Daphnia pulex: one gene and its partner. The protein of the gene in region 1 binds, or shares a complex with, the protein of each later gene. Links are inferred from orthologs where the notes say so. Each region holds a gene or a part of one and is shown in the gene's direction. Other genes may lie near its edges. The genes, in order: N6-adenosine-methyltransferase catalytic subunit-like and pre-mRNA-splicing regulator WTAP-like.

What was found.
Region 2: N6-adenosine-methyltransferase catalytic subunit-like (region 1) and pre-mRNA-splicing regulator WTAP-like share a complex: the UniProt entries of both Homo sapiens proteins name them as parts of the WMM complex. The link is inferred for Daphnia pulex from reciprocal best matches to the Homo sapiens genes METTL3 and WTAP.

What each region holds. Positions count from the first base shown.
Region 1 is NC_060028.1:8,119,317-8,123,753, reverse strand, and holds N6-adenosine-methyltransferase catalytic subunit-like, read left to right. Parts: upstream 1-1,472; 5' UTR 1,473-1,645; coding exon 1,646-1,799; intron 1,800-1,855; coding exon 1,856-2,069; intron 2,070-2,130; coding exon 2,131-2,252; intron 2,253-2,315; coding exon 2,316-2,428; intron 2,429-2,482; coding exon 2,483-2,609; intron 2,610-2,672; coding exon 2,673-2,875; intron 2,876-2,945; coding exon 2,946-3,102; intron 3,103-3,171; coding exon 3,172-3,338; intron 3,339-3,417; coding exon 3,418-3,543; intron 3,544-3,674; coding exon 3,675-3,853; intron 3,854-3,984; exon of another isoform or gene 3,985-4,045; coding exon 4,046-4,151; 3' UTR 4,152-4,271; downstream 4,272-4,437. UniProt on the Homo sapiens protein: The METTL3-METTL14 heterodimer forms a N6-methyltransferase complex that methylates adenosine residues at the N(6) position of some RNAs and regulates various processes such as the circadian clock, differentiation of embryonic and hematopoietic stem cells, cortical neurogenesis, response to DNA damage, differentiation of T-cells and primary miRNA processing.
Region 2 is NC_060020.1:5,269,737-5,273,626, forward strand, and holds pre-mRNA-splicing regulator WTAP-like, read left to right. Parts: upstream 1-1,578; 5' UTR 1,579-1,694; coding exon 1,695-1,845; intron 1,846-1,918; coding exon 1,919-2,043; intron 2,044-2,149; coding exon 2,150-2,570; intron 2,571-2,805; coding exon 2,806-3,128; 3' UTR 3,129-3,334; downstream 3,335-3,890. Other genes in the region: uncharacterized protein LOC124193179, read right to left, coding at 445-512, 588-764, 826-1,176, 1,254-1,323. UniProt on the Homo sapiens protein: Associated component of the WMM complex, a complex that mediates N6-methyladenosine (m6A) methylation of RNAs, a modification that plays a role in the efficiency of mRNA splicing and RNA processing.

The sequences.
Region 1 (4,437 bases):
TGATGATTTCACCGACGAGTCCTCGCTGGACACCATCGGGCTTGATCATCAAGTAGGTACGTTCTTGGTTTCCAGACATTTTATTGAAACTTACTTTTGATCGGGACTGAAATTAAAGGAGAAGACCGGCTGACGTACTGGATGTGACTAGTGACTTGAAAGTTCCAACACGACAAGAGGAAGGACGTCCTAGCAGACGACTTCTAACCAACGTGAACGAAACGAAAGTTCCCGAACCGACACTAGTGCCACCTTTTTATTTATAAAAATATGATATGCAAATTGGATCGGTTTACGTTACCTAGTGAATGGTAATGTTAATTTTTTTTAATAACATGGATCCTTGATCCGTTTTTGTACTTTGCTGCCCTTGCCAATTTCCAGAAAAGGCCATCTAGCGACCGTCTAAAATAATATGGAAATTTAATAGGACAATATTTTCAGTTTGATATTTTTATATCTCAGTTAAAATATTAAACACTGATATGTTCAGCCCCCCTTAAATATTTCAATTGATCTAGTCTTCATAAACCCAAACTTTATCAGCTGGCTGCCATGAAACAAGTTCTTCATCCCTGAACCACAAGGCAATTTCCTTGTTGGCACTCTCAACAGAGTCAGATCCATGCATGATGTTCCTAATTTTAAAAAAATTTAACATGTGGTGTAAAGTTATCATTCAAAACTAGTCTTACCTGCCAACTTGAATACAGAAATCTCCTCTGATGGTACCAGGCTTGGAGTCAGCAGGGTTGGTCTCACCCAACATTTGACGGCCAGTCTTGACAATGTTCAAACCCTCCCAGACCTGAAAGTACATTGCATGTATTAAACTAACAGTTAATTGCAGCTAAAGAAATTATTTCTTTACCATTGCAACAACTGGTCCAGATGCCATGTACTTCACCAAACCAGCAAAGAATGGGCGGCCAGACAGGTCAGCATAGTGTTTCTGCAACATCTCCTCAGTAGGCTAGTGACACAAACAAGTTAAAGAACAATCAGAATTAATGGCAGATCCAATTCCTTATAATTAAGAAGTGATTCACACATACCTGGACAAATTTGAGTGCGACCAATTTGAAGCCTTTCTGTTCGAATCTTTTGATGATTTCACCGACGAGTCCTCGCTGGACACCATCGGGCTTGATCATCAAGTAGGTACGTTCTTGGTTTCCAGACATTTTATTGAAACTTACTTTTGATCGGGACTGAAATTAAAGGAGAAGACCGGCTGACGTACTGGATGTGACTAGTGACTTGAAAGTTCCAACACGACAAGAGGAAGGACGTCCTAGCAGACGACTTCTAACCAACGTGAACGACATTTCCCGAACCAACACTAGTGCCATCTTTTTTTTTATTAAAAAAAATATGATATGCAAATTGGATCGGTTTACGTTACCTAGTGAATGGTAATGTTAATTTTTTTTAATTACATGGATCTTTAATCCGTTTTTGTACTTATTGCTGCCCTTGCCAATTTCCAGAAAAAGGCCATCTAGCGGCCGTCTAAAATAATATACACTGAAAGCAGAATGAAAACAATCTGGCTGCTTGTCTGACATTTTCTATCATATGCCGGTTTGTTTGTGAAGTTTTGTTGTTCTTATAATCCCTCACATTTATTTTGATTTGTTCCAAAATGTCTGACGCTTGGGAGGAGATTCAAGCTGTCAAATCAAAAAGAAATGAACTTAGAGAACGGTTACAAAAGAGAAGAAAAGAAAGAGAAGATCTCCTTGGAGGAGGCGATTCAACTTCAACTGTTAAAACAGATAGCAATCAAAAATTTTCAGGTAAATGAGGTTCTAGAACAATGATTCTGATTTTTCAACATTTCTTTTCTTTCTAGATGAAGCATGTGAGATAAATCTGTCAAGTTCCAGCAAAGAAGCCAATAAAGATATTGAAAATTGTGTTCTCAGGATATTAACCGATGCCACACTTTCCTTACCTTCAGATTCCAGAATCATTTGCCATAATGTTTCCACTCAAATTGGATATCTAGTTTCACACACAATTGTCAGTAATCTTCTCCAAAAATTTGCTGCTCAAGAACTTATTAGGTTTGTGTTGTGTGTACACATTTGATTGAGAATCCATATTAAGTATTATTCCATTTCAAAGACTTGTAGATGGCATACAGGAAAATCAGCCAGTACTTACCATCACACATGCTGAGCATGCTCGTCTTGTTGCTATGGTTACTGAAGATCAGTTAGGAAATTCCATATCCTTGAAACGAAAGCGTAATATTCTGTAAATTTATACTACTTTCCACTCTTTGGAATCTAATCATTGCATCAAAACAGAAAATGAAGTGGAAGCTGAAGAGTCGGCTTTACCAGCACAAACTGTAACAGTGAAAGAAGATCTATCTAAGTCCAAAAGAGAAAAAAAAGATTCCAAAAATGATGATGTCATGGTAAAATACATATGTTCACTGTTTTAATACTTATATAACTTGTTGTTTCCTTAGAACTTGTTATCGCTTCCGTCGACACGAGAAAAAGAAAACAAGAAAATGGGCGAAGAAATTCTGGATCTTTTGTCGAAACCAACTGTCAAAGAAAAATCCTTAGCAGAAAGATTCCGTTCACAAGGAGGTTAGTTGACCCTTACGCGACAAATTTTTTTTTGTTACTTTGATTATTAGTAATTTTCTTTAGGGGCTCAGGTTAAAGAGTTTTGCGCCCACGGAACTAAAGATGAATGCCGTAAAGTTTGGATGTCTGAATCAGATGACGGTCTCGAAAGCAAATGGAATTGCCATCGGCTTCATTTTCGTAAAATTATACAGTCACACACAGACGAGTCACTTGGAGATTGTTCTTTCTTGAATACCTGTTTTCATATGGAAACGTGCAAATACGTGAGCTTGTTGCGCAATGTGCATTCCCCCTAGACCTTCTCATTTAAATTCATTTTCTGGAAAATGTTAGGTTCATTACGAGGTTGACCAAGCCATTAAAACAAAGGATGATTTTGAACCCGGCTCCTTGCTCGGTCAGGCAGTGGTCTCGCGAGGTGAAAGCACTGTCCTGTACCCAGCTCAGTGGATTCAGTGTGATTTACGGTCATTGGATATGGCCATTTTAGGTATATGCAACCTTATGTACAGGTCCCATGGTTTTTTTTAATACTCTCTTTTTTACATTTATGATTCAGGTAAGTTTTCGGTTATCATGGCTGATCCACCGTGGGATATTCACATGGAACTTCCATATGGAACCCTTTCTGATGACGAGATGAGACAACTGAGCATTCCTATCCTTCAAGATGAAGGATTGATATTCCTCTGGGTTACTGGTCGAGCCATGGAATTGGGCCGAGAGGTATCATTACATTTTTAAAATAGTTGTTCAACATGTAGCAAAATCAACCAAGTGACTCACGCGTGTTCTCTCTCTCTAGTGCCTTCAGCTATGGGGCTACGAACGGGTCGATGAAATTATTTGGGTCAAGACAAACCAGCTACAAAGGATTATTCGAACAGGTCGAACAGGACACTGGTTAAACCATGGGAAAGAACACTGCTTGGTATTGACGTATTTTCTCACCCTACTACACCTTGCGTTTTAATCACTCTACTAAGCTAGTTAGTAGTTACGTATATATTCTACGAACGTACTTTCCAATACATGCGTATCTGGATTTTTGTTTGGTTATAGGTAGGTATGAAGGGTAATCCCAGAATGCTGAACCGCGGACTGGATTGTGACGTCATCGTGGCCGAAGTGCGGGCAACCAGCCACAAACCAGACGAAATGTATGGCATTATTGAACGTCTCTCGCCCGGAACGCGCAAAATCGAGTTGTTTGGAAGGCCTCACAACGTACAGCCAAATTGGTGTGTTCATTTACTTGACCTTCATGCATTACGTACTCACTGTCCTTCAATTCCGTTCTGCCTATTTGACGCCCGACGTAGTATTTTTGCTCTTTTCCTTCTAATATTTTGTGGTTAGCTTTTCATGGACGCTAGTAAGGAAATGAGAATTTTATCACGTGCAAGTAAATGACATTGTTACATGATATTTAGGATTACCCTGGGAAATCAACTCGATGGTGTCCATCTGCTTGATCCAGACATTGCCCGAGCCTACCAGAAACACTATCCAGATGCCAGTGCCCCCAATGCCAAATGAAATTTGCGAATCGCTCCGAATTACTTTTTTCCGCATTTTCAACGTTCATTCATTTTGATCCACCCATTTTTAATAAGTGTCACACACCTCGATTGCGTAAAATAAAAAAATTAGAAAGAAGAGAATGATAAACTTTGTTACTGGATACTTTTTGTTGCACCTCAAGAGGCCGTTGTTGAAATTTGAACGATTTACACCGCAAAAGTCCGCGACTTTACCATGCATTGATCACGTGAATCATGCCTTTTTGTTCAACTGAGATCGTCAAGTTGAGAAAATAAAAATT
Region 2 (3,890 bases), on another chromosome or scaffold:
ATGGAAGATAGAAACTCTGTGGTAAAATTCGTAAACATGACTCGCTCACTCCTACGATTCATTGCTTGCTCCTTCGATTTAGCGCACTTTCTCATTGGATTCTCTTATCAAACTGTAAATCCAATAGACATTTGTCAACCTCGTCTTTGATTATGTATATGCGTGCAAAAATGCGACTCAGAAATAATCTTGTATGGTGTACTAAACATGGAATCATGATGTGCGAGTGTCATCCTAGATTAAGAATATTTCGTTTCATGCCAGAATCCTGTTTCTTTATTAAAAACAGAAACCCAAATGAATGGTTCTGTAATGTTTGTCTTACTTGGTTTCTTCCAGTACAAATTGGAGGCTTGTCTCACCCTTCACATGTGTTTTAAGTCATTTATTTGAAACACCTCAGACATTTTTTTTTTGCACAACTTTTCAGCCAAAACACATAAATCAAGAAACTACCCATCGCATTTTACCAGACAATGCCTGCTTCACTCTGGCTTGTTCAATATCCTTGACTGAAAAAAAAAAACAAACAAAAATATATATATTAATACGTTTTTTTTCTGGCTTCATAACGACTTGGGTCTCACTTGATTGTCGTCGGTTAGATCGACCGTACAACATCCTATGACGAAAATCCTTTGGAACACTGGAGCCTGGTTTGGAAAACTTATTTTTCCACTTCCTTGATTCAAGAACTGCAACACTAAAGTCAGATGATTCCACTTCTCCCGTTTCCAATGGGATGTAATGTTCTTTTTCAAACCCTAGTAATTGTGCAATTTATGAGACAACAGATCATTTATTTTAAAAGCTATCGAAAAATACTTATATGACCACTGGAGGCATTCCCAGATTTAGTTCTCTTTCTTTGCTTTTTCTCAGAATCTTGTTGAGATTGTTGTTGAACAGGTTGAGCTGAAATGACGTCCACTAAGTTATCAGGTAACCTTTTTGAAGCCAAAGACTGAAGGGTTTTAGCTTTCTGTTCTTTCATCAATGCTTCTTTTTTCTGTCTTCGTTTTTTTTGTTCTTCTTTAGTTATGCGTTTGAACTGTTCCTCTGCTTTAAGTATTGAAAGAGCTGCAACTTTTGATTTACTAAAGGATACATCATCAGGAGCTTCATCTGAATCTGACGCAGAGTCATTTTCTTCAACAGCTAGATTTGTTTCATCTCCTGGAAAGAAAAATAAACACTTTGTTGTAACGAGAAACACACAAGTTCCATCAAAGGAATTAAAAGAAATGAAGTACCTGCTGGTATGTTGAAAACCAAATCGCTGTCTTCTGGATCTGGGCAATATTCATACTGCACCGAAGCCATCTTATTTGTATTAAAAAAAAAGAACTTTTATTTTCCACGTTGTGCGAGTGAGACGGACAAGGACAACCAGACATGTGTCAGTACTCAGTAGCAGACAATATTCCGCGTTATTACAAGAATTTGACTAAACTGCGGGTTTACGGACATACCGATGGTAATGTGCGGGGTTAAAAGAAGAACTACTGCTTCTGGTGCTGGTGGGCTGGGGGCTGGCTGGGGGTGGGAAGGTACTTCGAAACTTTTCTGAATACACAGTTGCATTCACAGCAGAGGGATATTGCATTGTAGCCGTAGCTATCATCAGATTTTGAAATTGAGTGGAGACAAGTGTTAATGATCATCGAGCATCAAGCTGTAAGCACGTTATAATAATGGGTGAAGTGGAACGATGCTCTCCTATTAGAGTTTTATTAACTCATGAAGAATTAGTTAATCTTGACAAATCCCAATTACATCAGCAATGGATGAAGCAGGAAAACTACATTAATTGGCTGGAGTCACAGCTATCAACTGCTCAGAATGGTTGGCTTATTTTCTACATTCATACCAGTTTCTACGGTAGCTTATTTGTTTCATTCATTTAAATTACTATCAGCATTGACTCCAGTACGAGAGTTTGAAGAAAAACTTAAACATTCAATTTCATCTGAATCTGGAAGAAGGGAAAATTTTCTTTTAATGCGTTTGAACTCTAAAGAACAAGAAATTCAAGATCTAATAGTAAGTTTAATGAAAATGTATTTGATCAAAATGAATGCAATCACATTCATCTTAATGAATTTTCAGAATTACTGTGCCATTTACTTATTTTCACAAATTATGACAGGTCCAAATTCAAGAACTGAAATCATCACAAGCTGGTAACTCAACATCCTTGAGGTCATCACTGTTAGATCCATCAGTCAATGTTCTAATCCAACATTTGCGTAAAGAGCTTGATAAAGCTAAATCAGCATTTGAAGAAACTCAAAATGAACTGAGCGCTTGGAAATTCACTCCAGACAGGTTTTTCTTTATAGTAGTCTTATTCTATCTTAAGTTACTAACAGCTCACCTCTCTATTCTAAATTTTATTGTTGAAAAAACTTATAGCAATACTGGGAAACGTTTAATGGCGAAATGTAGACTACTTTACCAAGAAAATGAAGAACTAGGAAGGATGATTTCCTCTGGCAGGCTGGCTAAATTGGAAGGGGATTTAGCTCTTCAGCGAAACTTCAGTGAGGAGATGAAGAAATCTCAATCAGGTGAATTAATTTTGTTTACTATATTTCTTTAATTTGATTAAGTTTTGTAATAAGAATGCCACAGTTATGAAATTTGATTTGTTTTTTCTGTCTCAAATGAAGGATTCATAATTTGTGAATTGATTCGTTTCTAGAACCAAAACTTGTTTTCTCAAAAGTGCCTGAATCTTATCATAATTTAAATGTACTGTACTGACTTATCTTTTAATTTTAGCATTTTATTTTTATTTTTCAGAATTAGATGAATTCTTATTGGAATTGGATGAAGATGTTGAAGGTATGCAATCAACTATTTATTTTCTACAGCAACAGTTGCGCCAAACACGGGACCAACTATCTGCAGCTCAAAAAGAAAATGAACTTCTTCGTAATACCAGCACAAACACGGCCAACACAGGCGCAGATGAAGAAAAATCCCCGGTAAACTCTTCTCAATCGGAAAATCAGTTAAACGAAAGGATGTGCGAACCTTCTTATTTGCAGTCGAACTCTTCTCATCTTATGAATGATAGTGATCGGTGTAATGGCCCTCTTCAGCCATCTTTTCACAATGACTAACTATTACTTTAAACTTACCTTTCGTAAAACGTCAAACCTGATTCGATTACGAGTAGTTGGTTTTAATTTTCGTGATGGATTTTCATCGTTTATATCGGGTCTTGGACATATTGTAATCCATTATTTTTTTTTGTGTAGACTTGATTTTTTTATTGCCAATTGTAGTGTACGAGTAAGTTAATACGACGAGTAAAATTTTCTTCAGATCAAACAGCCTTATTATACACTGCGATTGAAGCTGCAAAATTAGTAACAGTTAGTTATAGGCTCGTATCCTATAACTTATTATCTTATATTTCCTATTATTATTATTTCCATTTATTATCCTACATTTTTAATTATTATGATTTTCAATCGTGCCGAAATTTTGATTCGATTTTTCGAGTTTTTTGGGCATATGAGAGGATTGTTGAGAGGATGTTATATTGGTTTTTCCCAGTATGGCGTCATATTCTTCCAAATTTTGCGCGATTCTTTAGTCATGAAGCTTAAATGGCTAAATAGCGATATCTGAAATAATAGATCCTAGCCACCGGTTTTTCTCTTTGGAGCACAAATTCATCGCATAAAAAGCCATTCGGGAAATCGTATGTGTGTGTGTGACATATACGCATTCTCGTTATGAACTTTTTATGAACAAAGTTCTACTAATGAATCGTGGTATTTTTACGATTTCATAAATTAGACTTTACAGATGTAATATCTCACTTTCTAATAATAATAGAATACCTACAATTCGTCAATTCCAGGTAATAAAGTGCG